Alligator mississippiensis: one gene and its partner. The protein of the gene in region 1 interacts with the protein of each later gene in a pairwise test. Links are inferred from orthologs where the notes say so. Each region holds a gene or a part of one and is shown on either strand. Other genes may lie near its edges. The genes, in order: TSGA10 and ZNF410.

Region 1 (16,256 bases):
AATATCAAGCATTTGTATGTAACCTTTTCATCAGGCAGTTAGTGACAGTAAAAAGGTTGGGTTTAATATATTTAATGTTCCTCTTAAACAAACAAACAAACAAACATAAAAGAGCCTTCCCCCTGTCCCAGGCCTGGGGAAAGAAGGGGTATCAGATCCCCTTAGAGAAGCAGAACCCTGTGAGGAGAGAATGTCAGGCGGATCTTTGCTTTCTGTTTCCAGTGTCCCTCCCCTTACTCAATTTTTTAATTCCCCTTTTTTTTAGCCCCCATCTTCTTACAACCTTTTCAAACCCTCTCTTCCTAGTATTTCCCATTTCTCTTCTACCAAGCCTCCAGACCTACATGCCACTCATTGACATTCCTCATCACTGCTTATTCTGCACCAAAATAGTTATATAAATCTAAACATTTTAGGAACACTGGTGATAAGAGGGATGTGTCAGAGACACAGTGACAATGTGTTATTCCACTGTTCAGGAAAGATAACTCTTATTTTTCATCATCCTTCAAGTCTAATGGTTCCCTGACTTGCTGAACCAGTGAGCCAGTGTCAACCTTTAATATTTCTTGCACACCACCATGCACTCTTGTCACCAAACTTTAACTGGAAAACATCATAATTCAGACTGGACATCGGGAGACGTTACTTTACATTTAGGGCTGCCACGCTCTGGAATGGGCTCCCAAGTGAGGTGGTACTCTCTCCTACCTTGGGGATCTTCAAGAGGAGGCTGGACAGAGATTTGGCTGGGGTGATATGATCCCGGCACCTGTTCCTGCCCAGGGCAGGGGGTTGGACCTGATGATCTGTTTAGGTCCCTTCCAACCCTAAGCACTATGATACTATGATCATAAAGCACCTGGAGCCTCATGCAATCTACTGACCACTTGCTATGGCCTCCTAGATGACCAGTGGTCCACAGTTGGGAACTTCTGTGTCAATGTTGATTGGTTAATCAGTAATGGTGTTTTGCTATAAAAATCTGCTATAAAAATAAGAAAAATGTCAATAAACTGAATACAACCATTTTTACATGTTATCAATTTCACATGTAGAACCTGTGCACTTTAGATCCATTCTAAACGAGCTGTACAAATTCACAGCATTCCTCCGACACTCCCACAAATTAACTGGGCTCATTTCTGAACACTGAAATTACCTTTTTGATGACAAGGATAGTAGTAATAGGGCTTGGGACAGTCTCATGTTTTTCCCAAGGGCTGAGGATGATTTCTCAACTGATTCTCTGGACAATTTATCAGACAACAGGTTAATAACTGAAGCTTGTCCTTTCGAGTCATAGAGTTACTGTGACAACAGGTTGTTTGGAAAACTCTCTTTTCTAATCTTGCTACAGGTGGACATTTCAGCCTCTTTGGTAAACACGTGTCTAGCACAGTGACTCTCTCACCCTGGGGTGCCTTGAGATCTTTTCAAGTGTCATGGGATGCTGCACAGTGTTAGCAAACATGATTCATAAGATAAATCCAGGGATTTCAAATACAAATCTGTAGGGCCACAAAAACATCCTGCCCTGCTGGAGTCAGCCTTGAGTTCTTTTCAACAGAAGAATTGCTGTCATTTTTCTGTAGTCAAAAAGAGATTGAAAACTAATCACCGGCATTTTCTCAGGGATGTCTTGAGTCTATCAAAGGATGCCTTGAGGCAGGGGCAGATGTGGGGGAGAGGGCATGTCCTGGTGCAGTTGTGCTCCCTTTAGATTCCTGATCCACCCACAATTTAAATCAACCAGTGGCAATGGCAGCAGCTTTTTAAGTCAGGCAGTGCTGAGGGAATCATTTGACTTCCTGGCTCATTATAATTTACCCAATCCCTTCTGCACTCTTCCTTCCACAGGTCTTAAGCCCCTCTTCCTATCGATCGATCGATCAATTGATCGATAGATAGATAGATATACACACACTCTTGATGCTCCATCACTCAAGTAGGCCTTTTTTTCTGCAGCTCCACTGCCTGGTAGCTACTTTTGCTCATGGAGCTCCCAGTTCACAGCCTGGTTTTAACTCATTCCAAGGAGTTTTCACTTCCCTCTTAAATTGAATAACATAGCCCTGGGCCCCTGACCTATGAGTAAAGCTTCTGGTTTCTTTCTATGAAGAGAAAAATAGGTGCTGTTACATGGGATGATGCCCCTCAGCATCTGCACCCCTCTCCCCTTTTCTAATCCTAAATCCACCCATGCCTCAAGGCTAAACAGTTTGAGACTGCTCAGTCTGAGCAAGTCTAAACAGTCTAGCACCTACCCCTCAAGACTGCTTTGTCCAGCACACCTACAGCCTAGGGAATGACCTGCTGGGTAGCACGGAAGTGGAAAGGGATCTTGGAGTCCTAGTGGACTCCAAGATGAACATGAGTCACAGTGTGACAAAGCCATCAGAAAAGCCAATGGCACTTTATTGTGCATCAGCAGATGCATGACGAATAGGTCCAAGGAGGTGATACTTCCCCTCTATCGGGCGCTGGTCAGACCACAGTTGGAGTACTGCGTGTAATTCTGGGCACCGCAATTCAAGAGGGATGCGGATAACCTGGAGAGGGTCCAGAGAAGGGCCACTCGTATGGTTAAGGGCCTGCAGACCAAGCCCCACGAGGAGAGACTAGAGAAACTGGACCTTTTCAGCCTCCGCAAGAGAAGGTTGAGAGACGACCTCGTGGCTGCCTATAAGTTCATTACGGGGGCACAGAAGGGAATTGGTCAGGATTTATTCACCAAGGCGTCCCCGGGGGTTACAAGAAATAATGGCCACAAGCTAGCAGAGAGCAGATTTAGATTGGACATTAGGAAGAACTTCTTCACAGTTAGAGTGGCCAAGGTCTGGAACGGGCTCCCAAGGGAGGTGGTGCTCTCCCCTACCCTGGGGGTCTTCAAGAGGAGGTTAGATAGGCATCTAGCTGGGGTCATCTAGACCCAGCACTCTTTCCTGCCTATGCAGGGGGTCAGACTCGATGATCTATTGAGGTCCCTTCCGACCCTAACATCTATGAATCTATGAATCTATGAATCTATGAATGGGACGATCGACAGCTTTGTTTGTCCCCGCCCAAAGACCGCAGATGTTCACATCTGGACCTATGTCGACGACATTGTCATCATGAGGCACGATCGTACCGCGGTCCGCGCCACCACTGTGGACCTAAAGGACCACCTGAGCGATCAAGGATGGACGGTAAACCCGGCCAAGTCCATGAGCGAGCCATCCTCGGACATTAAGTTTTTGGGGACACGATTCACAGGACAATGGCGGTCAGGGACAGCACACAATGCTACCCCTGAGTTGTCCTCGCCTTGGCCAACCACACAGACAGACTTTCAAGGCCTACTAGGCCAGCTGAATTGGTTCCACAATTTCATAACGCCATCACATTTAAAAGTTGTCCAACGGTTACAACACCAAATTCGCAAGAAAACACGACGCAGAGTTCCATGGAGTGAGCGTGACCAAGCCGCGCTGGAAAACGTCATGATAGAGATTAAAAAGATGCGTCTGATCGCACCCCCCGCCGGCAATCTCCTGACAATTCACGTGGGCTACACCACGGAACATATCTGGTTTACAGCCAGTGACGCCAAAACAGGAAAACTCACGTACACCAGTCACCGCACACTCAAAAGCCACCAACATCGGTATGGTTGTCTAGGGAAGGTCATGCTTGTGGCTCAACTAGGAGAACACCTCGTGACGAGCCCAGGTGTACTGGTTGCACCCGGCGCCACCACACTGGGATTACTTAACTCTAGTAAAATCCACCCGGAGTATCAGGGCACGGCAAAAACTTGGAGTGCCCTAGTCCTTCGTCACCAGTATCACTGGTCGGTGTGGCAAGTCGCTGACAGAGAAATGATTCCGGCCGCCGAAGAAGATGATCCCACTGTACTACGATTGTATGGGACCACATCCCCAGCGTGGATAGCTTCCGATGGTACATCCCGTGATGGCGGAGGATATGGATATTATTGTGACCCCTGTCACGACTATGAGCTCCAAACGTCCCATCCAGGAGAGTCGGTCCAAGCATCTGAACTACGAGGCTTTCAACTAGCTCTTGAACACACCTACCGTCACCACGATGGGACGCTTCCGGTACCCGTCACAGCCGTATACAAAATTGTCACTGGAATGGCACAAGTTACGGAACACACCACTCTCTGGGACGATGTCAAGGCCACTTTACTACGTTTCTCTGTTTGCCCCTTAATCAAGCACACGCGCTCTCACCGACCTGACACGGACCCCGTACATGCTGTCATAGATCAGCTACTGGCACACCGAGGACCCGTGAACCAAAAGGACGTACCTCAGTTACACGCCATTGACATCATAGACACCGACCCCTTTCTCGCTTGGCTCCACGAGCGTTGGGGACACCTTGGAGCAAAAAGGGCACAAGCTCGCTGGAGGGAGCAAAGCGACGAAGGACCGAGCGTAGAACAATGGAAAAGAATAATCCAAGCCTGCTCTGCCTGTGTGCGAGAAAAACCAGTGCACTACAAGCACCAAAAGGGCGCCTATGACCTGGCACACTTTGCTCCAGGCAAGGTGTGGCAAGTGGACCTGCTCAGGAAACTCCCAGGAGCCAAGCCACCAAAAAAGGGGCTAGTAATCGTAGACCTGGGAACCCGTCAAATTCTCGTCCTCCCCACGAGGAAGACCACCACTCCCGTAATTCAAGGATGCCTACAGCTCGCTTTCGCCCATTGGCAAGTGCCCCACATCCTACACTCCGATGGAGGACCACCTTTTAACTCCAAAGGCTTAGAGCGGTTCGCGATACAGCATAATGTTCAATGGCATCACCATCTACCCTATCACCCGCAGTCCAATGGCATCGTGGAGCGCCAGATAGGACTATACAAGGAACAGTTAAGGTTAAAGGAAAATGGATCGTTCAAGAATTGGACTAAGTACAACAATGATGTACTAATTGCCATGAACGCCACTAAAGCTTTGTGGGATGAACGTACCCCGGTGCCACGTCCGCCTTGGAAGCCATGTTACTCATCCCAAGAAACAGTGTGGCTAGCCATTCCCACAGCTACCAGCAAGCGCCCAACTCCAGCTCCCGGTGTTGTACTTAAACCTGGCGAGTACCCAAATACCTATTTTGTCTCTCTTGAAGCAGTCTCACCCGCACGCACTGTCTTGGCCCACCATAATTGGCTAAGTCGACGTAGCACAGTTTAGTATACATTACTAACGAACCCCAAGTTTTGTTTTCCAGCCTAAAACGGTATGAAGTCGCCGATGCCTGACATGGTGTGAAACTCGTATTCGGGACAACTGTTGCCATGAGTGAACCCATTGGCGACGACTCCGGCAAAAACCGCCGTGCTGCATCTAGACAGACGCGGTTGGATTCAGTACTGACTAACTATCTGACTTATTTGCAAGTCTTGAGTGAAAGTTTACACTTTTGATCCTTATTATGTATTTGTATTAGATGCTGTATTTTGTACGTTTCAATTTTGTATATACCCACTTACTCGCTATAGGAGAAGAGGTTCTCGAGCTTAAACATGTCTGAAATTGGCATTTGGTCAAGGGGGCATGTGATAAAGTAAAAAAAAAAAAATTATGACCAAATGCCAAACATGACAGAAAGTTGTGCTCATGGCATGGGGGAAGTGGTGGGCGCGGCCTGATAGCCACGAGATTGGCGGTCCCGGCCCGCGCTGATTGGCAGGGGGTGGGCAGATGCAGCCCATTTAAAAAAGAAAGCGCGTGCACCAAAAAGGGAACAGAGGACCCGCGCCATATCAGAGAGGCCTGATCACCTTCACCGGAGGTCCTGCGTCCACGAAATCCCTTCCTCCCCGGACGCCCCACCACGACCGAGTATATCATTCGAACGTGTTTAGAGCTCTCGAGTCACCAGCGAGTTTAATCTTGAAACTGCTGTAACGGAAACCACCTATACGAAAGTGTGAGTAAAGCATTTATCTGTTACACCGCTTCCTTAATTGTTTTTCTGTCAACGGGAAGAGAGATAAGAGAAGGAGAAACAAGGTCCCGTAACCCTTTCGTTCCTGGCCTGTTCGCACAGCACTTTTCAGGGTCCAACCACCCACCGTCAGGTTGGTCAATGGGGAAGGGGGGCCCAATACTAAAAGTTTGCCCAGGGCTGCCAGGAGTCTAGGTACGGCGCTGTCAGGGACACAGGCCTCCCCCTGCAGCAGCAGCAGCATTGGCTGCCCCTCATGAGGCTGAATGAAGTTAGTTACTTATTCCTGGTTCCTTTTTCAAAGCTAATCTTTACACAATTAAAAGTTGTTAATAATGAATTAGACATGCTAAAGAGTTAGAATTTCATCCAAAATCTATCCAGTGGGAAGACAGACACATCAACGTTAGCATCCTCTTGCAAGCAAGCACCATGAGCCTCAAGGCCATGATCATCCAACATTGACTTCTCTGAGTTAGACTCATCATCTGCATGTCCAACTCCAGACTCCTGAAGCACGTTTTACTCTCTCAGCTCAGTCAAGGTGGACACTCAAGAGGAGGGCAGAGAAAGCACTTCAAGGACATCCTCAAGGCCAACTAGAAAAAATGCAACATCAACATCCAACTCATGGGAGACTATCACCCAGGATTGCCCCAAATGGAGGAGCAGCCTGTTGCAAGGATCTCCGTACTTGGAAATCTTAGGATGACAACAGGAGACACATGTGGGAGCTGCAGAAACAGCATGTCACAGACCAAACCAAGAATCCAGAGCCACCCACGCTGCATGCAAACACATGCCCGAGTTGCAGTGGAGCGTGTGAATCCCATGTTGGCCTCGTCAGCCATCGTTGACCCACAGGTAAGGTAATTCTGGAAGACAGGAATCCTTCACTATGACGGATTGCTGAAGAAGAAATATTTACTCACGTAAAATAGTATTGTGGATCAAACACATGGCCCTGAATAAAGAGCTGAGATTAGGCTGGATTTTGCTCCATAGTCCCTTTCTGTGTAACCCCAAACCATGCGTCTCCTGCCTGGCATTCATCAAAGAAACCCTCAGGGGGTGACGTGTAGTCTGGGATGACCTGAAAAGGATTTTGCCCCTAATCCCAGCCTACTCCCAGCTCCTTATTCTGGGCTGCACACTAGCTCCGTGGGGATTCTTCTACATTTTTATGCATGAACATACATGTCTGGGGTGTTGGTTACAGCCGTGTTGGTCAAAGCTAGGGGTGAGCAAAATGCGGCCCGCAGGCCAGATGCAGCCCGCCAGGTCATTCTATCCGGCCCGCGGGGCCCCTAAAAAATTTAGAAAATTAATATTTATCTGCCCCTGGCTGCCTGTCATGCGGCCCTCCACGGCTTGCCAAAACTCAGTAACCGGCCCTCCACCTGAAATAATTGCCTGCCCCTGCTCTAAGCACACAGGCAGACAAGGTTTCTTGGGTAAATCTGATCTCATTAGACCAGCTCAAATAGTTGGAAAAAATCATCTCTGCAAGCTTTGGGGTACAAACACCCTTCTTCAGCTGAAATACTTACTAATGTAAAATTATATCTTCAGATGAAGAAGGGTGTTTGTACCCCAGAGACAAATTTTCTCAACTGTTGTAATTGGCCTAATACAGGGTCTTCATAAAGTCCTTGTACACTTTTAAACTTTAATAATTTAGGTTGTAGGTATGATAGAAACAACCTGTAAGCGGCATTAAAAAGCAAATTTACTAAAGTTTTAGGACCACTACACTACACAATGCTAGACTTCAACATAACCACCATTTTCTTCTCACAGCTGATACAGACTTCAATTCTGCTAGCCACAGGCCACACTTTAACTTCTCATCTACACTACCGTAGCCATTTTTCGTTTGTCAATCTGAAATAAGAATAAACTTGTTATTACTTATGAAGTCTAGCCCTGTGTACTCCAGTGGTCCTAAAACTTTAATAAATTTGCTTTTAAATGCCGTTCACCGATTGTTTCAATCATACCTCCAACCTGAGTTATTAAAGTATCAATGTGCACAAGGACTTAATGAAGAGCTCAGATTTACCCAAGAGCCCTGCGCGTGCCTGGTGCACTTCCAGTGCTCGGCGCTGCCCAGCCCATCGCGAGCAGCTTGCACTTGCGCGCACAGGAGCTTTGCAAAAGGAGCCGGGAACACGAGGCGGGCTGCAGCCCCGAGCGCGCTGCCGTCATGGCAACGGGCGCCGGGCAACCCAACTGCCGCGCGGCCCATCCTGGCGGTAAGGCGGGAGCCGCGCCTCAAGGCCCCTCGCGCCAGCCCTGCGCCCCTCCCCTCCTCTCCCCCGACGGGGCAGAGCGCGGGCGGCCGTTGGGGGGCGGGGCGCGGAGGGGACCGCGCAGGTACCGCGGGGTGGGGCTGACACTGACCCCCCCTCCCCCACACGCGTGCACACCTCGGCGGGGCGGGCGGCATGAGCGGGCGGCGGCGGCAGCGGCGGGGAGCGGGTAGCCGCCTGCAGGTAGGTGCCCCCCCCGCCCGGGCTAGCTGCCCCCGGGGCGGGGGCGGCTGTGACCGGGCACATGCGGCTGTTCTGCTGCTTCTCCTCCCCTTCTCCTCCTTCCCTTCCCTTTTGCTCCTTTCCTTTCCTTCTCCTTGCCCTTGTGCAGGCCCCTGTCAGACCTGGGGGCAGTGACTCTCCACAAGGAGACTGCAGCCCCGGGGCTGCCCTGAGCGCCTTTGACGGGTGCCGCGGGATGCCTGCCGTACCGCATCAGCGCTGTCCGGTGCGCAAACCTGATTTGCAAGCTAAAGCACAAGCTGCCTTAGCAGCAGCCTGTCCCGGTGTGGTCTTTCTGAGCTCTCCCCAGTGAAAAAAAGGGCAACGTAGCTCCTTTTCCAACAGCGCTTCTTCTGCTTGGCTGTTTAGTTTAACCTGATGCTTCCCAAGCAAGGACACGCAGTGGAAGAACCTGGGGTGGCACGCCTTAATTTTAGGGTGCCGCACACAATTCGCACTCTTGGGCATGCAAGCCTCTACACATGATTCACTAGAGAAGCCCGGAGATTTCAAATAGGAATCTCCATAGCGTCAAAACTGCTCTGACCTGATGCCGGCTTTCTGAGTCCTTTGCAACTGAAGAGTTGCTCGATTATTTTTCTGTATAGTGAAAAGACAAATGGGAGCTCAGAGCTGGCATTTCCCATTGGGACCCTTGTTTCACCGGGGGTGCCTCAAGTCAAAAGTTGAGAACCACAGCCTTGAGCTTCCTTTTTGCAGAGAAACCACGGGTTTTTTTGCTTTGCTTTGGTTTTTTGGTTGGTTTGTTTTGGGGTTGTTTTTTTTGTGGGGGGGAGGTTGGACAGATATAGTTTGCCCACCTCTGGGGAAAGGTAGTTAGATGTTAGTTTGGAGTCAAGGTAGAATTTGCACTTTTAGACTAACTAAATAATGTATATGTATATAAAGCAGAAGCTTTTGTGAACTCATTGACTTAATTCAGTGCTGTAAAAGGATTAGCATAAAGCAGTGAAAAAAGTGGAGTGAGTGATTTGAATAAATTTGGGGTCCTGGTCATTGAAGCTCCTAACAAAGCCCTATTGAATCCAAAGAAAATGACCAGGTCTGGAATTGCTAGCATTTATCTTCTTTTTTTTCTGTATTTGTGTAAGAGTTGTTTGACCATGTTTGGTCAGATTTGTCAGTGAGTTCGTGGCAAGACCTTTTCTAAAGTTTTTCAATATAATTTCAGTGGTTATCTCAGGTCTGCCTCTGAAAAATCATAGCCTCTCCCTGCTGTGTCATCTCCTTTGAGATCCTTGAATTTGGCTCTTTCAGGGGTGTCAAATGTATGGCTCAGGCCTGTGGGGCTCCCAGAGAGACCAGGAATTCAGGGGCAGGGCAAGTGGAAGTCTGGGGCACAGAGCCCGGTTGGGGAGGCATGTCAGCTGCAGAGGAAAATGACTGCTGCCCCTCAAGCCCCCTTCCTCCACCCTTGACCTATGAAGAGCCCTGTGGTCTGAATCCAGCTCTGGGGGGGTGGGGTGAGTTAGACACCTGAGCTATATATACCATTCAGTACACCTGATCATCACTGCTCCACAGTTATCTATGAGAGCTCAATCTGGTAAATGATCATGTTCAAATGTTAAATTAAGCACTTTCGTAAATGTTTGCAGGTTCAGAGCATATTTTTGATGCGCACATCCCCCATTCACTCAATTTTGAATCATACTGGAATAATCAGTCTTGTTTTGCTGAAGGAATTGGCTTATTCAGAAGAATTAAACAATAAATAGCTTCTGAGAGGTACTATTTTGTGTCATTCCTTTTCTCTCATTTAGTGCAGGGGTATCCAACTTATTTGGTCCCATAGGCCAGATGAGGGGTGCTGGTCTGGTCTGTGGGCTGGATCAGGTTTACAGTCCAGCCCTGTGCATCAGGGCCAGTGCACAGGGCTGGTCTGACGTGTGCCGCTTGTAGCACACACCCTGTACTGGCCCTATGCACTGTGCAGAGCAAGCATTCTGATTCCACTCGTGCGTACCACAAGCAGCGTGTGCTGGCCCCAGCCCCATGTGCTGCACCCATAGGCTGCTCCAGATTCGCCCTATACACTATATTCTGTGTGTGGGCCTGATCCAGGTCAGCCATGTGCAGAACATGTCCTGGACTGGCCCCACACACTGCATGGAGCTCATGTCAGACAGGCTCTGTGTGCCATGTGCAGTATGCAGGGCCAGAGCCAACACATGCCGCATATGGTGCATGGGACCAGTCAGAGATCCATGGGCAGCACTGTGGGTTGAGCCATATTTTGACACCCCTCCTTTAGTATGATTTTTTTAAAGTATTGTTCATATGCAAACTATACTGATCTTTGTTTTACTCTTTTTGAGAATGACAGCTGATTGCTTTCATTGCTTAAGATGCATAAAACAAAAGGATTAATTTTAAGAGTAGCTTGGTTTACTCTAGTCCTTGAGTTCTTTTGTATTATTCCACTTGAGGGACCAATTTAGTGCTTTCATTGGAGTTGGATCAAATTCTAGGTCCTGCTTTTACAGGGCAAGCCTTCCACTGAAGCACCTGGTTAATCTCAATATCAGTCATATTTTTATTTGCTTTTCAAAAGTGAAATTTACAGATTTTATTTCAAGTATCTTTGGTTCTTAAACTTGAACATTTTTATCTTAAGATGATGTTATACAACATAAGCACATGAACAAATTACCCCAGAGTAAGCAAGAGGCAAGCTACTTTGGGTTCGCTTTCTTTTCCTGATGGATCAAAGTGTGCACATGGGCAATTACTGTGGAGTAACTGATGTGCTGTAAATCCCCTCTACCCTCAGTTACATTGTAGTAAATTGTGTGGCTGTGCCAATTGTGGCTTGAGGGCAAATAGGTTGTTTTCTGTTGTTATGAAGTATCTAAGCATATGTTTTCTCCCATTTTCAAGGCTCACTCTGTTACTCCATGCAGCATGCCTTTCTAAAATGCAGAAGTACAGTACTTCATGTTTTCTATTCTCTCAAAAGGTAACAAGAAGAGGAGATGATTTTGATTTAGGGGATCGAGCTTTTGAAAGTGAGAGATCTTCTAATCTGGAAAGCAAGATTACGAACAAAGACAAAATAATCCATAAATTGAATTCACAGGTTCGGTTTTTACTTTTCTGTATTACAAAAGTTGTTTTATTTTTCTGCATTACATTTTTTGCTATTGTAGCATTTTGTAGGAAACAAGGATGTTGAAAATCTTACATACTGAAGTTATAGCCCAAAAGTAACCATTATAATTTAGATGGGTATTAAACAGTGAAGAGATGGCAAACTACTTTGCTACTGAATGAAGTTGAAGATCCAAAACACTCATGACAAGATATCCTGTTATATTTGCATCATGGCATTTTTCATCATGTTATGCTACTAACCTCTACAATTTAATCCTTGCTTGAACTTTGTAAATCAAACAAAAACTCAGCGTGTTGCTGTTTGCATAGTCATTTGATGCTTACTACTTTAATTTCTCTTGGGTATTGGATAGGAGATGTGTCTCCTCAAAATTAGCAACCAGTGGAAGGGGTGCTTCTAAGCTATAGCCAAGGCCAAAAGTATTTGGATGTTTCAACTAAAAATGATCAGCAGTGACGTAATTACCAGTGTTCCATTTAAATTGTTATAAATGATGCTTTAAAGTTAATACATGTATCCGTTTTTATCTCAGTTCACAGAGTTGTAGACACCTTCTGAAATTTAAGTTAGTCATGAATGTTTAGTTGGATATTTTCAAGTTTCTATGTTCTTCCATAAAAAGTAAAATAATTCTACCCTACCATACTTTAAGACTTCATCTAAACCAGGGCTGTCCAACTTCTGAGTGGCTGGGGGCTGCAGGCACCCCAGGCCAATGTTGCATGGACTGCACACCTCCAGGCTGCACACCATATGGCAGACACTATACTGTGCTGGTGACCCCATGCTGCATGGGTTTTGGGTCCCCCCAAGCCCACTGGCAGGCCACTCCGGCCCTACAAGCTGGCCACCCTGCCCTGCCCCCAGGTGTGGAGAAGGAAGCAAAAGCCAGGAGAGAGACAGTGAGCCCAAAGACTCTGGTGGCAGCAGCAGCAGAGTAGTGGGGACTGCTGCACCTGGATTAGGAGCCTCTAGGGCCACAGGCAAACCTCTCAGAGGCTTTATGCGGCCTTGAGTTGGATAGCTCAGGCCATGAGTTGGACAGCTCTAACCAGGGGCAACTGGTACTTCCTGAGTCAGGGGGGCATGTGGCCGCCAGCCCCCCCCCCCCCCCCCGTGGGCAGTCAGTGACCGTGGCCGAGCTCACCAGCTTGCAGGGGGAGGCCCCTGTGGCTGATCACTGGGCTGACTGGGAAGCACAAGCGGGGCACCCAGAAGTGCCAGTGATGCTTCTCCTGGTGCCCCCACTCTCTGGCTGGTACTCACAGGGGGAGCACCGCTGCCTCCCCCCCCCAACCTGTCACCTAAGTGGGGAGTGCTGGCTGTCGGGGGATGCACCAGTGCAATAAGGGGATGCACGTGCACCCCCTGCGCATCACCACTGACTCTAACCTAAACTATTCTCAGTTTTGAGCCCTTATGTGCATCTGAGAAAAGATGGCAGCATGAACAATAAACAGATCCATGATCCTGATGACCAAGGAGGGAAACTAATTACAGAGTCTGGGATAATATTTATGGAAACTCTTAATTTATACCAAGGAAGTTCCAATTCAAATACTGTTGCCAATCTCAGCTGTCTCAGGGAGGGGGCGGTGACTGAAGGAGGGATTTTCTCAGTTAATTGGGCTTTGAAACATTTTGGGGTTTAGAGGTTAAAACTAACCTCTTGGGTTCTAGCATGGCTACCAGATATGAATATTGTTGTGCGTGCTGTACATAGTCTGTAAGTAAATGAACAGACATTGACATTCTGATGGGATTTAATAATAACCTTTGGAAGAGGAGTTCCAAAGAGGATGGAGCTGAACTGTTCTCAGTGGTGGCAGATGATAGAACAAATAACAGTGGTCTCAAGTTGCAGCAAGGGAAGTTTAGATTGGATATCAGGGAAAACTTTCTCACTAGGAAGGTAGTAAAACACTGAAACAGGTTACCCAGAGAAGTTGCGGCATCTCCATCCTCGGAGGGTTTTAAGACCCAGCTAGGCAAAGCCTTGGCTGGGATGATCTAGTTGGGGATGGTCCTGCTTTGAGCAGGGGGTTGGACTAGATGACCTCCTAAGGTCCTTTCCAAACCTAATTATCTGATTCAACACTAGTTGGACCTTCCCAGAGGACCCAATGTACAGCAGCATCCCTTCTTGCAGGTACCAACCTAGTCAATTTTTCTGGTGCCTTTTCCATCATTACCTGGGTTTGTCTTATTTAAGAACTGGCCACTTTGCACACATCTATTCTCCAAGTTCATAGCTGTACAGAATTATTTGTTCCATTATATCAGCCAGATCACATGATGATTCTCATTACATGCAACAACTCATAATTCATCATTAATTCTCCTAATATCCTTATATACATGCTGAACTACAGAGATGATAAATTAACCTCTGAAGAACCTCCCATGAGAGCTCCCTCCAGGTGGAAGAGTGTGTGTCCCAATTGTTTGGAACTTCCTAGATAAGAATAAATATGTGCTGCTTTTGCCCAGCAAGCCCAGCATGGAGAAGGACACTTTGGATTGGTGGAACATTTCTACCAATCGAGTAACAGCTGGGAGGGGCTAGCCCTGCCCCTTCTTGGGGGTGGGGGAGCAAGGAGCCCCTGGACCTGTTTGAAGTCTGCTCTTTGCAGGTCTGGCAGACTTCAGGGGTGGGACCTCCAGTGTAAATAAAAGCAGCACGCTGGGCAGAAATGGCAAGGGACGTTGGAGAGGGAAGAGCCTCCACGGGATCCCTTCTTCATCCCAGCAATGCACAGGCCAGCGCACAAGGCTCAGGCTCTGGGAGCCACGTTGAGGCAGCTCGAGCCTGCATCCTCAGCAGAGGGCTGGACAGAGTGGTGTGCAGGTTGGCAAATGGGGAGCTGGCCCTGGGAGTAGCTCAAGGCTGCTCGGGGCCCCACACGTTGTGCAGTCCGGCACACAGAGAACCTGCCCTGGGAGCAGCCTGAGGCTGCTCAGGTTAGCCCTGGTGTAAGCTGGATAGCTGGAGCCCTGCAGTGTGACCTGCCCAAAGAACTAAAAGAGCCCTGGAGCCTAGAGCAGGGCCCAGGAAAGGGGAGGTCTAGGCATAAGGCCAGGTAAACCCAGCCAGCAGTGGCTAGGTTGCGTCCCCACGAGAGCTGGAAGAACCCTCGGTGCCCAAAGTGGGGCACAGGGCCAGGAGGGGAGGTCCTGGAGTGACACAGACAATGCTGGTGGGGCCTCTGATTGAGCGAAGGGCTCTGAGGTATGGTCAACAGCTCCTCGAAGGAAACTAAGTTGCTGGCAGAGTCGGGTCCCTCAGGGGAGGCATTCCTGAAATAAGGTAACCCCTCCCCACACCCCGAGGGAAGCCCTGGGTGAAAGTTTCCCTCCCAGCTAGACCCATAGAAGGGGGAGCACCCCTTGCTAGCTGGGATCCAGAGGTAAATGCACCTCATGTCGTGTAAGACTGCGCCTCATATTTTGTATAATTGTTATTATAATTATGAATATGTTGTACAAAATGTCACGGGATTGGGTTAGTTTGGTATAATGGGTTTTTGGCTTATCATATTGTAAATATCCATCTGTATACCTTTGGTGTTAAAAGATACTGCTAAGAATATTTTCGGAACGTTTTCCTTTGTTACCTGTTAGAGTATTTATCTATACATATATTGAATAAGAAATAATATGAATATTATGATTTAGTAAACTGTAAATAGTTAAGAGCATTGGTGTGGAGTTGACTCTATAGAAGAAAGAGGGACCTGTGCTGAAATCACCTGTGTCCCTCTCACAGCACTATTCCCTGCCTCATCTGTCCTTTCCAATTGAGGATGATCACACCTTTGGGTGTTCCCAGGTTACAAATAGAATAGCTTGAAGATAGTTCTGTCCACTGGTGCTAATTTCTGAAGGCATCTGTATAAAACATTATAGTTAATGGAATTGAATGAAGTTGACACATCCAGTACTATCTGCATCACACTGCATTCTCATCTGTTACCAAAGGGCCATTGATGAGTGAACTTCTGCATAAATTCAGGCCCAAAGTCTGTAGCCTCTGCTCCCTGCTCCCTTCCCACCCTCCCCCCAGTCTCTGCTTCCCTGTTCCTTCCTCAGCTTCTGCTCGGTGCTAGCAGGCTCTGTCCCCATTCTAGCCTGGAGCCCTGAGCACAGCTCCCAGCCCACTTCCCCCGTCCCCCAGTAGACATGTGGGCTGTATGCTGCTGCTTTGGGGCTGTGCTCAGTGCCACAGGCTGCAGCATGGATGGCGCATGCTGGCACGGAGCAAGGGTAAACATGGGATGGAGAGGGACAGGCAGGAGAGTAGAGGCTGCATGGCAATGGGGGAGAAGATGGGTAGAAGAGTGCAGGAGAGAGGTGGTGGGAGCAGGGGGGGACAGGCAGACAGCAGCTGTGGCTATGGCCCTGAATCTGGGTAGAGGCTGGAGCCTGAGCCACAGCAGTTACTCCTCCTCTGGCCCCCCTCCGCCCCTCCCAACACACAATTCTAAGATGAGAGGCTTTTTTCCCTATGTTAAATGGGGCAGGGGGCAACGACTTTGTCTTAGAATCGAGTCAATACTGTAGTTAAGCTACTATGGGTATAAGGGAATTGCACTCATGTAAGTAAATAAACGTTTCTGTTGTGA
Region 2 (16,222 bases), on another chromosome or scaffold:
ATTTTTTTGTTTCTGGCTTATTCAACAACAACAAGCCTGGTGTACTACCTGTTTAATTTTGAAACAGAAAAGCAGCATGTAAATGAATAGAGGGGGAAAAAAGAAAAGGAGAGGAAGGAGCAACTCAAAAATACCAAACACTGGCAATGTGAATAAAAATTGGATTTCATTTCTGAAAATGTATGCAAAATTCTATAGCAAAATACCAGAAGAGGAGTTGTTTCTGTTTTATATCCTGCATCATTCTTGAGCTCTTAAAGCCATAACCTTAACCATGGAATACAACTCAAAAGAAGAGCATTTTATGATAGGAAGTGAGGAAGCTAGTAAGATTTATATTTTAGTGAAACTGCAGTATTTTTCATTTCGGATTGCCATATATTTATTTTAGAAGCCATTGTTTAAAATTTGTGATTTGGCTAATTTACCAGGTAACTTTTAAGCCCACGTTATTGCAATAAGCTTTAATACAGAAGCATAACAGCTACATGCAACTCCAGAAGGTATTCCACTGCATAAAAATTTCCAGGGTACAACCTGCCAATATTATAATATAGAGCTGGAAACCAGCATATGTCACTCATTCTGCCAGTTCTATTCAATACTCTTACTATGGTTTTTGTGCATATTGTGTTTGGAATAATGTGTGAAGCTATACATTTCAGAGACTTTACTGAACTGCTGGAGTTAAATATAAGAAGGATTCATAGGAGAGTCTTCACATCAAGGGACACCTGGCTGCTTCTTAGCAACAAAATAAACCTCCTTTTGCCAAGGGACCTTTAAGTGGCAAGGCATTTTTCCACCACAATCCACTTGATAGGAAAAAAACTGCAGGGACCTCCTATATAAAACATGTTTTAATTTTAAACTGTACTGGTATATGGCAAAAAGGAAAGTATTTTACTAAATTTTTAAAGCATTCATCAATATGAAAAAGGGTTTAAAATGTATATTTAAAATCCTAAGGCAATTTAAGAGTCAATTAAGAAGCTTCCAAACTAACACAAGAATGATGTTTATAGACATGGGATAATGGATAGCAATGATTCAGTAGCAAAAATTCAGTAATGCTATACTGGGTATCACAAACTGTTAGTGGGGATTTTTCACTTGGGCATAGGGCTCAGGAAATCAATTTACATTAAGTTCAATGTTGCCATAATTGTCAACTACTGCATTTAGTTATATTCTTATAAAAATATATTCTTTATTACTTTATTATCAAAGTGACAGAAACTGGGAAGTCTCCTGTTCAATAGATTCGAGAAGTTGAAAAAAAAGAAATCAATTCAGGCAGCAGTGTCTGCCTCAAATACCTCTGACAGTTACTGAAGTGTCACCATCACTTCAACATTTTTCACTTAGGGGTTGACAGGAGGTGAATTTTCCACAAGCAAGCTAACAGGTAAAAACTTCTGAATAACAGCATACCTCAACAGCAAGACAACTCTGCATTATTAGTAAGTGGAAGGAGAGAGTGCAAGGGATGTACTAAATATAAAAGTGAGGGCCCTTAACTCAGACCTCAAGCAGATTTGAGGCTTTCAGAAACAAGCTTTGTGACTCTAAGCTATTTCCCTTCCAGCACAGGAAGTACTTGTGAGCTAACTGCATTAAAGTGAAAGCAAGATATTTCTCACCTGCCAAATATATACTTATCTCTAACCAAGGAAGGATCATATTCAATATTCTTTAGCTACTACTTAGAGTAAAAGACATTTCTTCCAAGGTCACAGAAGAGCAATTTGAGTTTTCTGAATCGTTGTGCTCAAACTTCTTGAAGCCTCTCAATCTTGACCTGTGTTAGAGTGACTCAAGCTTACATTTAGAGCAGTAGTTCTCAATATTTTTAGACTCACAGCACCTCTCAGGTCTTATACTTTTCCTTGTTTTTTGATTACAGAAAAATAAAACAACTCTTCTGTTACAAGGAACTCAGAAAGACCATGACAGGTCAAAATGTTTTTAACACTACAGATTCATATTTGAAATCCGTGCGTATCATGTTTGCACACCTAACAGCCCAAACACTGTGTGGCACCCCGCAGCACTCTCGAAAGGGTAAAGGCATCCCAGGATGCTATGGCACCCTTGCTGACAATCACTGATTTAGAGCTTTCTCTCCCTTTTGTGTGACAACAAGGGAATAATATTCCTTATTTCATATCCTGAGAACTGGTATCAAAGCACACGCAGAAAGGTATGTGAGCACCTCACATTTTTTTTATATTTATTGTAATCACAACCTTGTGAATTCAAGGAATTACTATTATTACTGTTCTAAAGATTGAAAGGGCTGCAGCTCAGAAAAACTGAATACCTAGGTCACCAAGGAAGTCTATGGCAAAACAGAACACAGCCCGTCTCCTAAATCCCAGGCTAGAAGTCTAACCATCTCCCTCTGTCTTTCCAGGACTCTCTTATTCTCTTTGATCTCAAGAAGTCATACATTTCTTTAAATATATTTCTCTCTGAGTAAATAAGCTTCCCTGTATAAGACCAAAAAATTTAAGAATTTGCAGTATATCAAAAGACAGCCATCATTATAATTACACATTATTTTTCGGTAACAAGATTACATAGCAACTAAAGAGTCTAACTAGCTTAAATTTCGTATTTACTGTGGAAACAATCCCCCTAGCCCTGCACACTACCAATACAGCGCGCACACTACTTTCAGCATGCCATATCTGCTTACGCACAAAGAAGAAATATAAAGGAGCACAATCTGAAACTTTTGCATAGAACAGTCTTTTTAGATTTATCAGAGTTCAAACTTATAAATTCTGACCCCCTTCTACTGATGCCAGATCTCTTGTTCCTGACAAAAATCAATCCTTGCACAGCTCCAACTGTCCTTGTCACGTGCACAATGGGTCACTCGTAAGTGAATCCACATCTATGCCTTGTTTTATATTGATATTCTACAGCTAGCATGATAATACAATGCAAGATGTTTGTACTGCTTTAAACAGCATAACCATCACCCTGCCCAATACCAAACTCCTCAAAAGCACTAAGTTGACAAGTTGTTAATACAGGATCTGTCTACACATTTCAATTAAAGCTGGATAGAACTAAACTAGAGTCAATACACATTTTCAAGCATTAATTGTGTAGCTGGCCAGCTCTTCTTACAGTTGAACTGTCATTTTTATTGAGTGATAATTACTTTGCACATGGGGGCAGGCTAAACATATTGCACAATTCATCAGTTGCATGACAATTACTTTGCTCTTGTGGCCAGTCTTACTTTGCATGTGTGGCTGGTCTAAGGGTACCCTATGATCCACCAGCTGCTAAATAAGACCAGATGCAAGGGCAAAGTAATTATCACGCAACTAGTGAATCGCACAATACATTCAAACTGGCCTCATGTGCAAAGCAAGACTAGCCACAAGGGCAAAGTGACTGTCATGCGTGTGTCTGGTCTAAACGTACATTTAAATTCACCACTTGCATGATATTGATGGTTATGCTGTTTAAAGCAATTCACCACTTGCATGATATTTATATTTTGTCCTTGTGGTGGGTCTTAGTCTGTACATGAGGCTGGTCTAAAAGCAGTGCGTGACTGAGCAGGCAATTGCGTGATATATGCAACGTGTGGTGGGCTCAGTAGTTCAAAGAGCGAGTACCATAGGAATTGGAAATATATCAAGCCTGTCACAGGTCCCAACAATGATTTCATACAATTCCTCACACCCCGGCTTTCATCTGCATGGTCTCCCTCCTGCTCTCATGAATCTCTGCCTGTTTTCTTTTTACCTGCCCCATGAAATCAACTGCCATACCCCCAATAGCCCTTCCCATAACAGGGAGGCTAACTGCTGTCCAGTGGGCCTCAAGCACATGTTAACCTCATAGGTCAAACAGGCCCGTTCTCCCAAAGACAGCGCAGCACCTAACTACAAAGGAGCAAGACCTTCAGGGCTTCCTGCTGCCTCAGCTGCAGGAGTCCTTTCCTGGTGCCGGGCCCCCTGAGGCAACAGGGGGTGATTTTGCTCTCCTCAGCTCTCGGCCAGGCCTCCCCCGAGCAGTGGGGCTCCCACCTCTCCCCTGGCAGCTTCCCGGGCCCTCGAGGGGGAGGGAAGGCGCCAGGGCCCCGCCGGAGCGGGCGAGGCGGGGCCACTACCTGTTGTGGCGGACGCTGCTCAGCACGCACAGCACCAGCTCCAGGTAGGTCCTCAGCAGCTCCAGCCAGCGCGGGCACAGCGGCGTCTCCCCGTCGGCCGCTGCCGCCCCCGGCCCCGCCACCGCGCCGTCGCCCACCAGGCCGCCCCCCCCGCCGCCGCCGCCGCCGCTGGGGTAGTTGTCGGCGGCGAACTGGACGCGCAGCTCCCGCACGAACCAGCCGCACTTGCGCATGAGGAAGTCGAGGCGCGGGCGCTCGGCGGGGCAGACACGCAGGCTGAGGCGCAGCCGGGGCCACAGCGCTGGGTAGAAGAGGCACTCGCGCCAGTGCGAGCAGGCGGCCGAGGCCCGCAGCCGGTCGGGCGCCGCCAGGAAGGAGAAGATGTGCACCACCAGCTCGCTGGGCAGGGAGCCGGCGCCCACCGCCCCGCCGCACACCGACATCCCCGGCGCGGGCCCGGGCCCCGGCCCCGGCCCCGCTGCAACCCCCGCGCGGCACCGGCCCGGCCTCGGCCTCCTGCCGCAACAACAACAACATCAATGACAAGGCGGGGGGAGGGGCGGGGCCGCCGCCGCTCACCCGCTGCCGGCGCGAACCACCCCTGCGGGCGGGCGGGGGGGGCCAAAGAGGCGGGTGAGAGAGGGGAACGTACCACCGGGCTACGGGGGGAGGGCATGGCACCTGCTGCCAATGGATAGGCGGGAACCTACCAACTCACTCAAGAATCTAGCTGAGAGCAGCGGAGATGCTACAGGCGGGTGAAAGGCAGCGGAGGAGTGGGGGGAAACCCATCAGTGGTTGCAGATTGTGGGGAAAAGGAATTCTTCCCTCCCCCCGCTCACAGAGGGATGGAACCGACTGCCCGACAAGCCGGGGCTGGGAGGGTGGAACCTACCATCAAATCAGCTGCGAGGAGGGCGCGCCCAGACTCGCTGGGGGGAGGGTTGGACTAAACCATTTGGAGTGGACGGAGAGGGGAACAGGACGCTGCCACCTCACTGTGGGGCGGTGCAGGGGCCGGAGCGGCTGCGGCCGCGGGGTCTGCCCTGTCCAAGGGGCAACCTCGGGGGCCTGGCCGCCTTGAAGAGCCGGGATCCCCAGCGGGGGCTGTGGGACAGAGCGGGCGGTGCTGGGGGGGCGGCTCGATGCACGAGATAAACTCAGGGATTCACGCAGGAATCCGGGGTCCAAGCCGCTCCGCCCGCTGCGGCCTTTCTGAGGCCTTTGCAGAAGAAGAGCTGCTCTAGTATTTTCCCGCAGTCAAACGCCCAGTGAGACATAAGAGCTGGGATTGCCCGAGGGGACCTCGGGGCTGCTGCCGCGGAGGAGAGGAAGGCGCAGGGGACTGGGCTCAGGCAGTCTTCCCCTCAGCTCCTGGTGCTGTTTCCTGGCACTGGCACCAAACACTGGGAGCCCCGGAAAATTACTCCAGCAGCTGGTAGCTCCCACTGTAGAGCCGCCTGCCAGACAAGTCCTCAGCTCCCCAGCCCGAGCAGAACAACTTCCGCAGGCCCTCAAAGGGATAGGCATGGATCTCCTGCCTCTGGGGCACTGCTTTAGCATCTGCCCAACTACCCAGAGCGCTTGGCTGATGGCGAGTCAGGTTAAGGGGTCTTGGTACAACAGAGTGAAGGCTCCAGGTTTTATGAACTTCCTGGGTCAGTATTTGTAGACTGCTGAGGTGGTATCAAAGCAAAGGTGTCCCTTGCTCTGTGATTGTAGATCACTGGGCTGGTATCAAAAGGAACCTTTGAGGTTTCTTGTTCAGCCACTGAGGTGCGCTGGGAGGACACCAAAAGGACCAACTCCTGTGTGAATGTTTATTTAGCACCTCTAGCTTCCTGGGATGATGCTAAGGCTCCAGGCTGCTCTGTGTTCAGTGGCTCATTGCCTCTAGTTTGCTGGTTTGATGTGGAAGGAGACATCTCTGACTTAAAACTACAACTTGGTGGGATGATATCCAGGCTGTGACCTTTGTGACTGACCTACTTGAATGAAAAAGGCCATGGGCCCAGCCCACTAAAAATCGAGGGCCACCACTGGTTGGGTGGCCAGAGCCTTTAAAAATTCAACTGATTACCGGGGACAAATCATAAGAAAACAGGGTGTGCACGTGCAGGGTTAAAGGGCCAAAACAAGTGCTCCCTGGCGGGGACGCCAAGCAGAGCACACCAGACAGAGCCCACCGGCCCTTGAACTCAGCTAGAGTGCCGGCGGCTACCGCCCAGCGATGCTCCACTTGGAGACGTGCACGCAGGACACTGAGGAAAAACACCCCAAGGTCTCCGGGAAGACCTTTGTGACTGATTTGCAGTTTCTGCTAAGGCACGGGCCTTTGTGAGATCACTTAGTCACAGACCCTTTGGCCAGGCCCATTGAGGCAGATAACCGTAAGGTTACTGATTTAGGACCTATAGCTTGTTTATCTGACAGGTAGAGAGGTAGTTAGCTGTTAGTCTCAAGTCAGGGCCTGTCCTGCCTTCCACCTCGCTTATCTGGTGTCACGCTGAGAGCTCTGTGGTTTTTGATATAACTCCTTGGTGAAGAGCAGTGCCTCAGCTCTACTGACTAGCTAGTCTAATTTCAAGGCAGAGGTTCTGTGAATCAGATTTAGCAGCTGCAAATTGCTAAGGAGAAGCTCTATGTGGCCACCGGCTTAGCATATGTAGGTCACCTGCTTGATGACAATGAGCAGGCTTCTGTGAACAGACTGATCCCATTCCCACAGGTTAGATTGTTTCTGCTCATTCAGTAAACTCCCACCTCTAGCTTGCTGGTCTGATATCAAGATATAAACCTTGGTGTCTTCTAGCTTATCAGCTGAAGCTTGCTGTACATCAAGACCCAGTGGTACAAGGATCCCTGTTTCAGAAACTTGTCTTACTCGGTGGGTCAAGACGCACATTGCTAAGAGTTGTCCTGCTTGCTTCCTCTCTGGCTTGCTTTTGCTGAAATTAAGGCACAGGATTTCATAAGGTCACTGGGTCATCCCTTCTGGTTTCCCCTGCTATGCTAACCTAGTGACCCAATGCAAAACCACAGCTCTGCTTCCCTCAGTGCAGGAACTGGCTCAGACCTAGTTGTTAAGCTGAACGATCCTGTTGGTTCAACGTGCGCCAACTTGTGGCAAGATGACAGACACCGACCGCATCCTCTGTTCTCAGGAAGGGCGCTTAACTAGGAGACAGGACCCCGGTGCAGCGAGGCGGCCGGCTTCTGGCAAGGCTGTGGTCCCTCTGATTCTACCCTGTCTAAAAAATAGGGTTAAGTGTCTTTGCTTTCTGGAGAGCTCCTGAGAACTGGATCCGTGGGGCCAGTGGAGGCGGGCGGGCAGCCACAGACCGAGCAGCCTTTGCCACCAGAGTAGCCGCGGGCTGAGCAGCCCCAGGGAGAGGGGCCGCGCCGAGAAGCCGCAGGGCTCTGCCGGCGCAGCCCTGGCTCGTACCCCAGGAGCTCGTCCGCTCCTGGAGTCCCACGATCACAAGCGCCGCAGGCGACAGATCCTGCCCGGGCCCGGGCTCGGGGCACGGAGCGCTCAGGACCCACGCCTGGCGGCGACAGGGTTAACGGCTCCAAGACACCGAGCCCAGGAAGCCCCGCCCACCGGCCTTCCCGCCAAGGGGCGGTGTCGGAACTACGGGTGCCAGGATGTTGCCATTCTTGCTCCCGGAAACAGGAACCGGAAGCAGTTGCGGTCACCTGTCGGGATGGGGCGGACGTGGGCTACAGAGACCGCCGTCCGCGCACTAGAAGGGCTCTCGGACCATAGAGCTGGCCCCCCAGCATTTCCGGTCTGGTGACGGCGTCACATCCGGGCGGTTCTGAGATGCCGGTAAGACTCGTGGGGGCGCGGAGGCCCGCGAGGCCGGCCTCGTCCCTGTCCGTGTCCCCTAGGAGCGGCTCGAGCCCCCCATACCCCTGGTCTGAGGGGAGCCGACCTCGTTTGGGGGCGCCTGCGCCTTCCTCTCCCTGCGTCCTGACTGGCGGCCTCGGCTCCCGCCCCCCATTTCGGGCAGTACCCACCCCCACTCCGGCCCTGTCACGGGGCAGCTGCAGCCCGCGCCGGGCTCGGTGTCGCGGGAGCAGAGCGGCCGGAGGGCCCCCCAACGCAGCCCCGTCGCTGCGCCTCGGAGCTTCGGGCTCCCTGCCCCTTTCCTCCTCGGGGGTGGCCCCTACTGCCTCTGCGTCCCGGCAGGGGCACAGGCTTGGGTGGGTGTTCAAGCCCCTGAGACGTAGTTAGCCCTATTAGCCTGAGGGCGAGTAGGGGGTAGGGACATTCTCACCTTGCAGTTTAACCCGGGCTCGTGCATGCGCTCTGGCCAGCCTGTAGCAAGTTCCCAACCTCTTCAGATTCAAGGCAGCTCTTGGAAAACGCTACATGTTAGTTTTCCCTCTTTTTTTTCGAATCTAGAAAAATGATAGAGTTGTCTTCTTAGTTGCTGAGAACTTAGGCTACAGCCAGGGAATTCCTGTTTCAAATCTCTGGGTTTATCTTGTGAATTATGGCTGCTCACAGCCATGAAAAAAAACCCCTAAAAGGGTGCTTTCCTTCCAGCTGGGCACACCCCAACACCAAGCACTGTGCATGCCCAGAAGAGGCATTGCATTAGTTGGACCTGGCTCACCCAATGTCTGTATAAATCAGGTGATTTTATCTAATAGCCAGTTGAATCAGCTATTTGATAAAATCAGTTACTAGGTAAGTGCCAAAAAGCTCTGCTGAAGCACCCAATTTATACAGGTGCTGCGGAGCCAGGTTGAACTAATGTACTTGCTTCTCTTTTAGTTAAGTGCTGGTTTTCTTGTTTTTTTTTTTCCCCACATCTGTCTGTCCCATGTTTGCAAACCAAACAGTGTTTAACGTTGTGCAGCACTGCATGCTAGCCTTGAAAGCATCTCAAGGCATCCCAGAGTCCTGTGGCACCCTGGTTTACGATCACTGGTCTGTAAGGTGCAAATCTTCCCTCTGTCTTTTGTTAAAGTCACTGGCTAGAAGGGGAGGATGGTCCCACAAGTTTGCAGTTTGAAAAATAACATGAGGCAAAACCTTAGGAAGAACACTGGCACCCTGGGTCTTGGCTTTATTTTCATTTATTGTGACTATTTATTTATGTGTTATGCTAATTCAGTCCAAGGCACCCAGTGGGAGATGCCAGTTCTTGGCTTCTCTTTGGTTTTGACTATGGAAAAAGAATAGAGCAATTTTTCTGTTGCAAATACTTCATAAAGCCCACAACAGGTCAGAATGTTTTTGACACTATGGATTCCTGTTGGGTTTATCTTCTGAATCGTGTGGGTGTTTGCACACCTAAAAGTGTTAATATTGCGCAGCACCCTGCAGCACCCTTAAAAGGATCTCACGACACGCTAGTTAAGATTTGCTGCCCTAAAACATGTTACTTATAGATATATCCTGTAAAGCTGACAGGGAGAACCTTCTTCACATACCAAAGTTTCCATACTAGGAAGAGAAGCAGAACATCATATCTATTAGGCTTTGGTGGGGACTGTAGTTGTCAGCAAAAGAGGTCACCTCTTTACATTGACTTCCATTATTAAGTCAAGCACTTGCAAGTGTGTAAAAGTAGGAACAAAAATAGATTTTTTTTTTAATCTATCTTCCTGTCCTGCAGAAGAAACAACTTGTTTAGTTTAAAAATTGGGGAAATTGCATGAGAGAGAACTTAACTCAGTGGTATCTGTGATTATTGAGAATTTGTTAACAACCAGAAAATCAATGAATATGAGAAGGAGGGTTGAGTGTTCATGATGAGTTCTGTGAGAGTGGGTATTCAATTTGTTTGTGCAGTGGAAAAGCTCAGGCTCTCACAGCATAAACATACTCAAACATTAGGGATCCTGCACACTTTAAATGGGCCTCAAATGGCCTGGCAACGTTTTTCTGGACATTAACGATAGCAACTATTGCTTTTTGCTACCCTATGGATTTTCAAATTGCTTAAATACAAGAGAAGAATGTTCTTTTAAATTGAACTTTGGTTTACATTGTTTTTTTGAGCATTTGAATGCCATGAATACCTAGGCAGATGAGAGAACTCAGAGACCATCCAAGTCAAGAGAAATGTTTATGTTCAATAGTAATAATTTCTTGAAGTCTGATTCTTTGGTCCATGGATGATAGCTGCTCACATTTTCGTTTTCTTCTTTGTTTTAGGTTAAATTGAATATCTGCCAAGCACAATTTCTTGCAGGAAGATCACCACACTGCTTGAAGGCTAGCTAATATGAGAATAACCCCAAGGGACTGTTCACTCTGAATTTTAAACTCTGTGCCTTGTCCAGGACAGCTGCAGGAATCGGAAACTTGAATCAATGTTATCAGATGAGTTAGAGTCCAAACCAGAGGTGAGGGACTATAAATTGGGTTCAATTCCAGTTGGGTTCCTATTTTGAGATACATTATCTGCTAGATAGAGAACTGTATTTGCCATTTGGCTCTGAATTCTCAAAAAAGTCTTAATTTTAGCGGACGGTGGACGTATCCCATGATTTTAAGAGCGCAGAATATTTTTCAGTTGTATTTTAAAACTGTTTTTTGTTTTTTTTTTGATTGACTGATTGGTACAAATCCAAAGGGGCATGTTAGTGTATGGGTGTTTTTCTTTTATTTTGCTTTCTTGCTTGTTTTTAAGTTTGAGCAAAGTTCCTTTGTCCATCTTTGGAGTACAATAACAATGTGAGAACATACTTTTCCCACTATGAAAAAAGCTGTTGTATCAGTTTCTTTCCCTGTACCTGCACTGACACTTCTAGAAGTTTGGAATTTTGAATATTTCAGAAGTTCCCATTCTCCATAGAGAAACGTGGTTTTGTGTGTTACTTATGACTCCTGCCAAGTTGCCTGGCAAAAACCTAAGACTATTACATATCTTCTTAAAGTGACTTTCTTATGTGAGCAATTGCAGAAGTTGTCAACAAGATGTTAGTGATGATAAATGGCGGGGGGGGGGCTGTTACTTAGCTAATAAGATGTGCCTGTTCTGTGAAAATATTAGACTGTTCCTGAATTATTTGTGGGGTGGAGTGGGAGGGGCTATTTGTTGTTCATGAGGAAGGATTTAAAAAATGCAATTTGTTGTTTAAGCTTGTCTCTGGCACCCATAGGTGACAAAGTTGGGGTTAACAGGGCTTAATCCCCACAAATACAGCTCCAGTTGCAGCACCACCATGCCCTGCTGCCACAGTACTGTGCCCAGTACCCCTGCTGTGCACTCCTCTGCTGTGTACAGCAGCAGTGTGTGTTGGCCCCACCACGGCCATAGAGGAGGGAGGGGAGGGGGTCAGGCGGCATGCTCTGCACTGTGCCCTGTACCACTGCCAGCCCATCCAATAATATTTTCTCCCAACGTGTATACTGGCAGCTCTTGTAATGGGAGAGATTTATATTCTTGCCTTTTGATGCTGCTTAGCCCAGTTTGTTTTGTAGAATTCTTGGTTGCCATTATATAGAAAAAAAGTCAGAAGTTCCAGCTCTGGGATGAGGGGTGGGAATCCTCTGCTGTTTTGGTATTTGACTGCCTTTTGCTGCTCTGTGTGGGTAGACTTTTGAGCCAAAGGAGAAGGAAATTTTTATTTAAAACTGCTTCATGTAATAGAATAAGATTGGATAGGACAAGACATAATTCATAGAATGTCCTGTATGTATTTCCAATCTGTGCAGGTGATAGAAGGGATTATGGCTAGCATGTGAATAAATGTGAAATATTAAATCTTTGAAACTGGAAATAGCCTGATAACTTTTGACTCCAGGCAGTTTTGCTGTACAGATTGTTCCTGTTCCCTCTTACTGGTTTTGTTACACCCCCCATGTTGTACCTTGTCTTTAAATTAGCATAAAATCTTTCCAGGAGGAAATCTCTTCCTCGGTGCTTGTAGAGCACCTAACGGATTGGGTCCCTCATCAGACTGAGGTTTCTGCATAATCCTGTACTATCAGTAATAGTTAGTAAGGTTGATCTTTTAAACTTGAGGTCTGGCTTCGGACTCAGTTCATGTGGTATATTACCATGTGAGTGACAACAATATTTCTGAGAGGTAGGGAAGTATTAGGAAGCATCATATTTCCGTTGATAAAATGGGAAGTATTGAGCACAAAAATTTATAGTCCAAAATTTCAAGTATCTATTCATTTTTGGTGCTGTTTGAGGCTCAATCTTAAGACACCTAAAGCCTGACTCAAAATAGCAGCGGCAGCAGCTCCCATTTGCTTCTCCAAACTGAGGGAAGCAGTTGCGCAGCAGTTCTAAATCAAGCCCTTGAAGTGTCTCAGTGTGCACCCAGAAATAAGGAGCATGCAATCAGTACCTCCTTAAAAAAAATAAAATAAAAAAAAAATAAAATAAAAGGGACTTGCTTACCATCTCGTAATAGACCAGTGGTGGAGCCAGGCCCCAGCCTACAGTGTGAATCACTAGAAGAGACCATGATTTCTCTATATGCATCCTCCTTGCTGCAGTCATTACATAACTTCCACCGTCTTCATTAAGAAAGGAGAATTCCTGTAGTCAGCCTTATTCTCTACACAATCTAGAGAATAAGAGCTGTTCATGAACATGGCATTAAAGGCTACGCGTCTGTTACCAGAACATGACTGTATTATGTTGTGGAATTTCGTATCTTAAATGGAAAAAAATAACTGCATTTATTTATTTATTTATGGGCTCTGCTTGTGACAAGAAGATTCTTCCATAGGCCTGAGCTCAGGGAACTGAATTAAGACTTGTGATTGTGAATGCTGTTTTGTTTTTTAACAATCTTTTTTTCAATCCATGGGTCTCAAAGTAATCCTGTAAACACACCTTCACAAAGTAATCAATTTTACTTACCTTGAGGTCAATCATACAGGTTTGGCCTCTTCTTTCTGAGAGGTAGCATGGATGAGGTCTGTGTTTTCTCTCTGCCAGAAATGACCTCATGCAGCCTATCTGATCCAGAGGGACTCAGTTCCCCTCAGGATGGGGGTCTGTGGTCTTTTCAGTTATGAAATGCCCAGAATAATTAACACAAGACATTGGAAAAGGGGGCCTGGACCTCCTGATCTTGTTGCTCTCAGCCTGCTGCTTCCTTCATTAAATTAGAGTAGTTTAATACAGGGGAGGATTGTATCGGTAGTGATGGCATCAGTAAAAGGAGGAGAATCCATTTTTCCCACCTCTGTCCTAGAGGCAGAGCTCTGTGCTTTCATTCTGGAATGACACCAGAAGCTCAGGAATGTGTATGGTAGTGTGGCAGGAGTTTGAACTCTGAGATGCCGTGCAGAAAGGATGCATAAACATTGTATACACTTTGGTGCTCCAGACTTGGACCAAATGCAGGCAGACTGTCAGACGGACTGAAAAGGCACTTGTTTGTCTATAAGACATTTCTTGTCAGGCTTCAGATTCCTGCTCCAGATTCTTGAAACACAATAGTTGTCCAAAAAGGGGTCTGTCAGTCTGCTTGTCTTTTCAGTTTAGTTTTTTACATGGGAAATTTACCTTTTTCTCTTTGGAAGAGAATTGGTTGAACTGCCTTCAGTTAAGCTTAAAACACTCAACCTGAGCATGGAAAATTTTTTGACTTGGAAGTTTTGATCTTGACAAAATAACGAAGGGCAAAAAAATGAAAGTTAAAATGGAAATGATTCAGTAGCCTTAATAATAGACATAACTACCTCTGCTAGTAATTCAGACCTTGATTATATTTTTAAGTAAAAGTTAGGTTCCCCCCCCCATGAGCTATATACATGTATACTTGTATTTATGTAAAGTAGGCAGAGCCACTGAATCTATTAAGTTGATAGACTTCCACTGACTTCAGGCTGCTGCACTAGGTTCTGTGCATGGTACAGCACAGTGGAAGGTTAACACCAAATTTTCAGGTGTTTCGTTGGACTCTGTAGAATGCAGTAAATGGATTTAGCAGTAAGTAAATCAGTCTCTTCTATCCTCTTTTTTTTGTTCCAGCTGCTGGTTCAGTTTGTTCAGAACACATCTATTCCACTGGGTCAAGGGCTGGTGGAATCAGAACCTAAAGACATCACCTGTCTCTCCCTTCTTCCTGTCACTGAGACATCAGAATGCAACAGACTGATGTTGCCAGGTAAGATCTACAGTACAGAATCTTAGGGGCATACCATTTGTATAGCTATGACTAGTGTGCTGCTGCAGTACGCTGCCTCTGCTTCTTGCTGGAAAAGGGCCCCAGTGCCAAAGGGACATATTCTGAAGAAGTGTTGGCACTTTTCTCAATAGTGGTGAAGGTTTACTACTTTAGTATGTTTTTCCCCCAAGCTTTCTCTTTTAAACTATTGAGTTATTTCCACAATGTTTTTGCTGAGGGGGTATAATTAAACTTTTATTCTTTCCCCTACTCTCCTTTTCTTCATTAGATGATTCTCCAAGTCATGATAACTCCTCCAAAGATGTTCCCTCATCTGCTGTCTTGAGAAGTCTCCAGGTAAATGTGGGCCCTGATGGAGAGGAGACAAGGGCACAGAATGTACAGAAACCCTCTGAGCTCCTGTCAAGTCCAGAGACTTCCAGCTTATTACAGGACCTTCAGCCCAGTGACAGCACTTCTTTTATTCTCCTCAACCTAACAAGAGCAGGTAATTCTTCTATTTGTCATTTGGCAGGCTGGGTCTCAAAGAAGAGAATGCAGGCTATCCATGTACAGCTCTGCCCCTGTTGTTGGAAAGATCATGACATTTGCTGGGCATTGTTGGGTATATTAGAGCCTGTAGCTGTCAGCAGATTCTTGCAATATAGGTGTTAGTGGAGTCTTTCTGTGCAAATATTATGTCTGTACCACAAACACTAGCTTCTGGGAAGCAGGAAAGATGCTCCTCTCATCACATTCTTTGTCTCAGTCAGCTGCCTTTTCTTCTAGGCCTGGGCTCTCCAGCAGAGCACCTTGTGTTTGTGCAGGATGAAGCAGAAGATTCTGGAAATGATTTTCTCTCCCATGACAGCACAGACAGCAGTACTCCATGGTTTCTACGAGTACAGGAGCTAGCCCATGACAGTTTGATTGCAGCCACTAGGGCACAGCTCGCAAAGAACGCCAAAGCAAGCAATAATGGTAGGAGACTTCCTCTTTCTATTTGAAATGTTGAATCTTCTGCAAAAAGCAAGTAGCAGCAGCTGTTTCAGTGTTATCTATCACATTGCAAGATGGTTAATAAGTACACAGAGTCAGTATGTATGTCACTATTTAGTAACTTTAGCCAAGGTTATATTGAGGGTTTCAGTTAAAGCAAGGCTTCAGTGTCTCTAACTGGACACCATTATTGGCACTATTTTTGGCGCAGACTTAAGTTTCTGGGAAATATGTCTACAGCTGGGATTTAAAGCAGTTTTTCAACTTAAACACCTACCTGGACAGAGGGGAACAGAGCAAAGCTATTTTTATCAACATCATCTGCAGTGAATAATGATGCAGAGCAGTCTTATGACCTCTCTACGGTGTCTTTTGTATTCCTCAGGTTTTTTTTTATTTATATTTCTGGGAACCCAGTTGTCAACAGTTCTCTTGCAAGTTTCCAGCTTTTTATCTACAGCTAATTGCTCTTCAAGTCTACTTTTAAGCTCGCTAGTGTTCAATTTATTTATTGCCTGCCGTTGTTTATGTTCCTTACTGTACCCTCATTAGGTCCTGGGGGGGTCAAGGTTTTGGGGGTTTTTTTTTGGGGGGGGGGGGGGGTTAAGGAAAGCTGTTTGAACTCTAAATTTTTAATTTTATGTAGGTACATATGTAGTTCTCAGAACAAGGGATATGTTGCGGCATCTGGTTACCAGACAGGGTAATCAGGATTGTATCTGATGTATAGACCTGTACTGTGCTAAGAATAATCTCACCTTTTAAAACTTTTGTACTTTCCAGAACACAGTCAGATATTACTGTACTTTGGTATTTTCCGTTACAGGTGAAAACATTCATCTTTGCTCAGGAGATGGGCAACCGAAAGACTCCAGCCCTATCCCTCATCTGTCCCGTGTGGAAAAGAAGCTGAAGTGCACAGTTGAGGGATGTGACCGGACATTTGTATGGCCAGCTCACTTCAAATATCATCTAAAAACCCAC

The links.
Region 2: the proteins of TSGA10 (region 1) and ZNF410 interact in binary tests that used the Homo sapiens proteins (3 or more experiments, as listed by UniProt). The two-hybrid records come from large-scale screens. The link is inferred for Alligator mississippiensis from reciprocal best matches to the Homo sapiens genes TSGA10 and ZNF410.

Annotation. Positions count from the first base shown.
Region 1 is NC_081824.1:342,978,168-342,994,423, reverse strand, and holds the start of TSGA10 (testis-specific gene 10 protein), read left to right. Parts: upstream 1-8,253; 5' UTR 8,254-8,411; coding exon 8,412-8,459; intron 8,460-11,478; coding exon 11,479-11,598; intron 11,599-16,256. UniProt on the Homo sapiens protein: Plays a role in spermatogenesis. When overexpressed, prevents nuclear localization of HIF1A.
Region 2 is NC_081825.1:260,292,909-260,309,130, forward strand, and holds the start of ZNF410 (zinc finger protein 410), read left to right. Parts: upstream 1-7,829; 5' UTR 7,830-7,970; intron 7,971-10,313; 5' UTR 10,314-10,471; coding exon 10,472-10,504; intron 10,505-14,103; coding exon 14,104-14,239; intron 14,240-14,528; coding exon 14,529-14,747; intron 14,748-15,028; coding exon 15,029-15,220; intron 15,221-16,064; coding exon 16,065-16,222. Other genes in the region: FBXO33 (F-box only protein 33), read right to left, coding at 4,139-4,581. UniProt on the Homo sapiens protein: Transcription factor that binds to the sequence motif 5'-CATCCCATAATA-3', and is specifically required to silence expression of fetal hemoglobin in adult erythroid cells.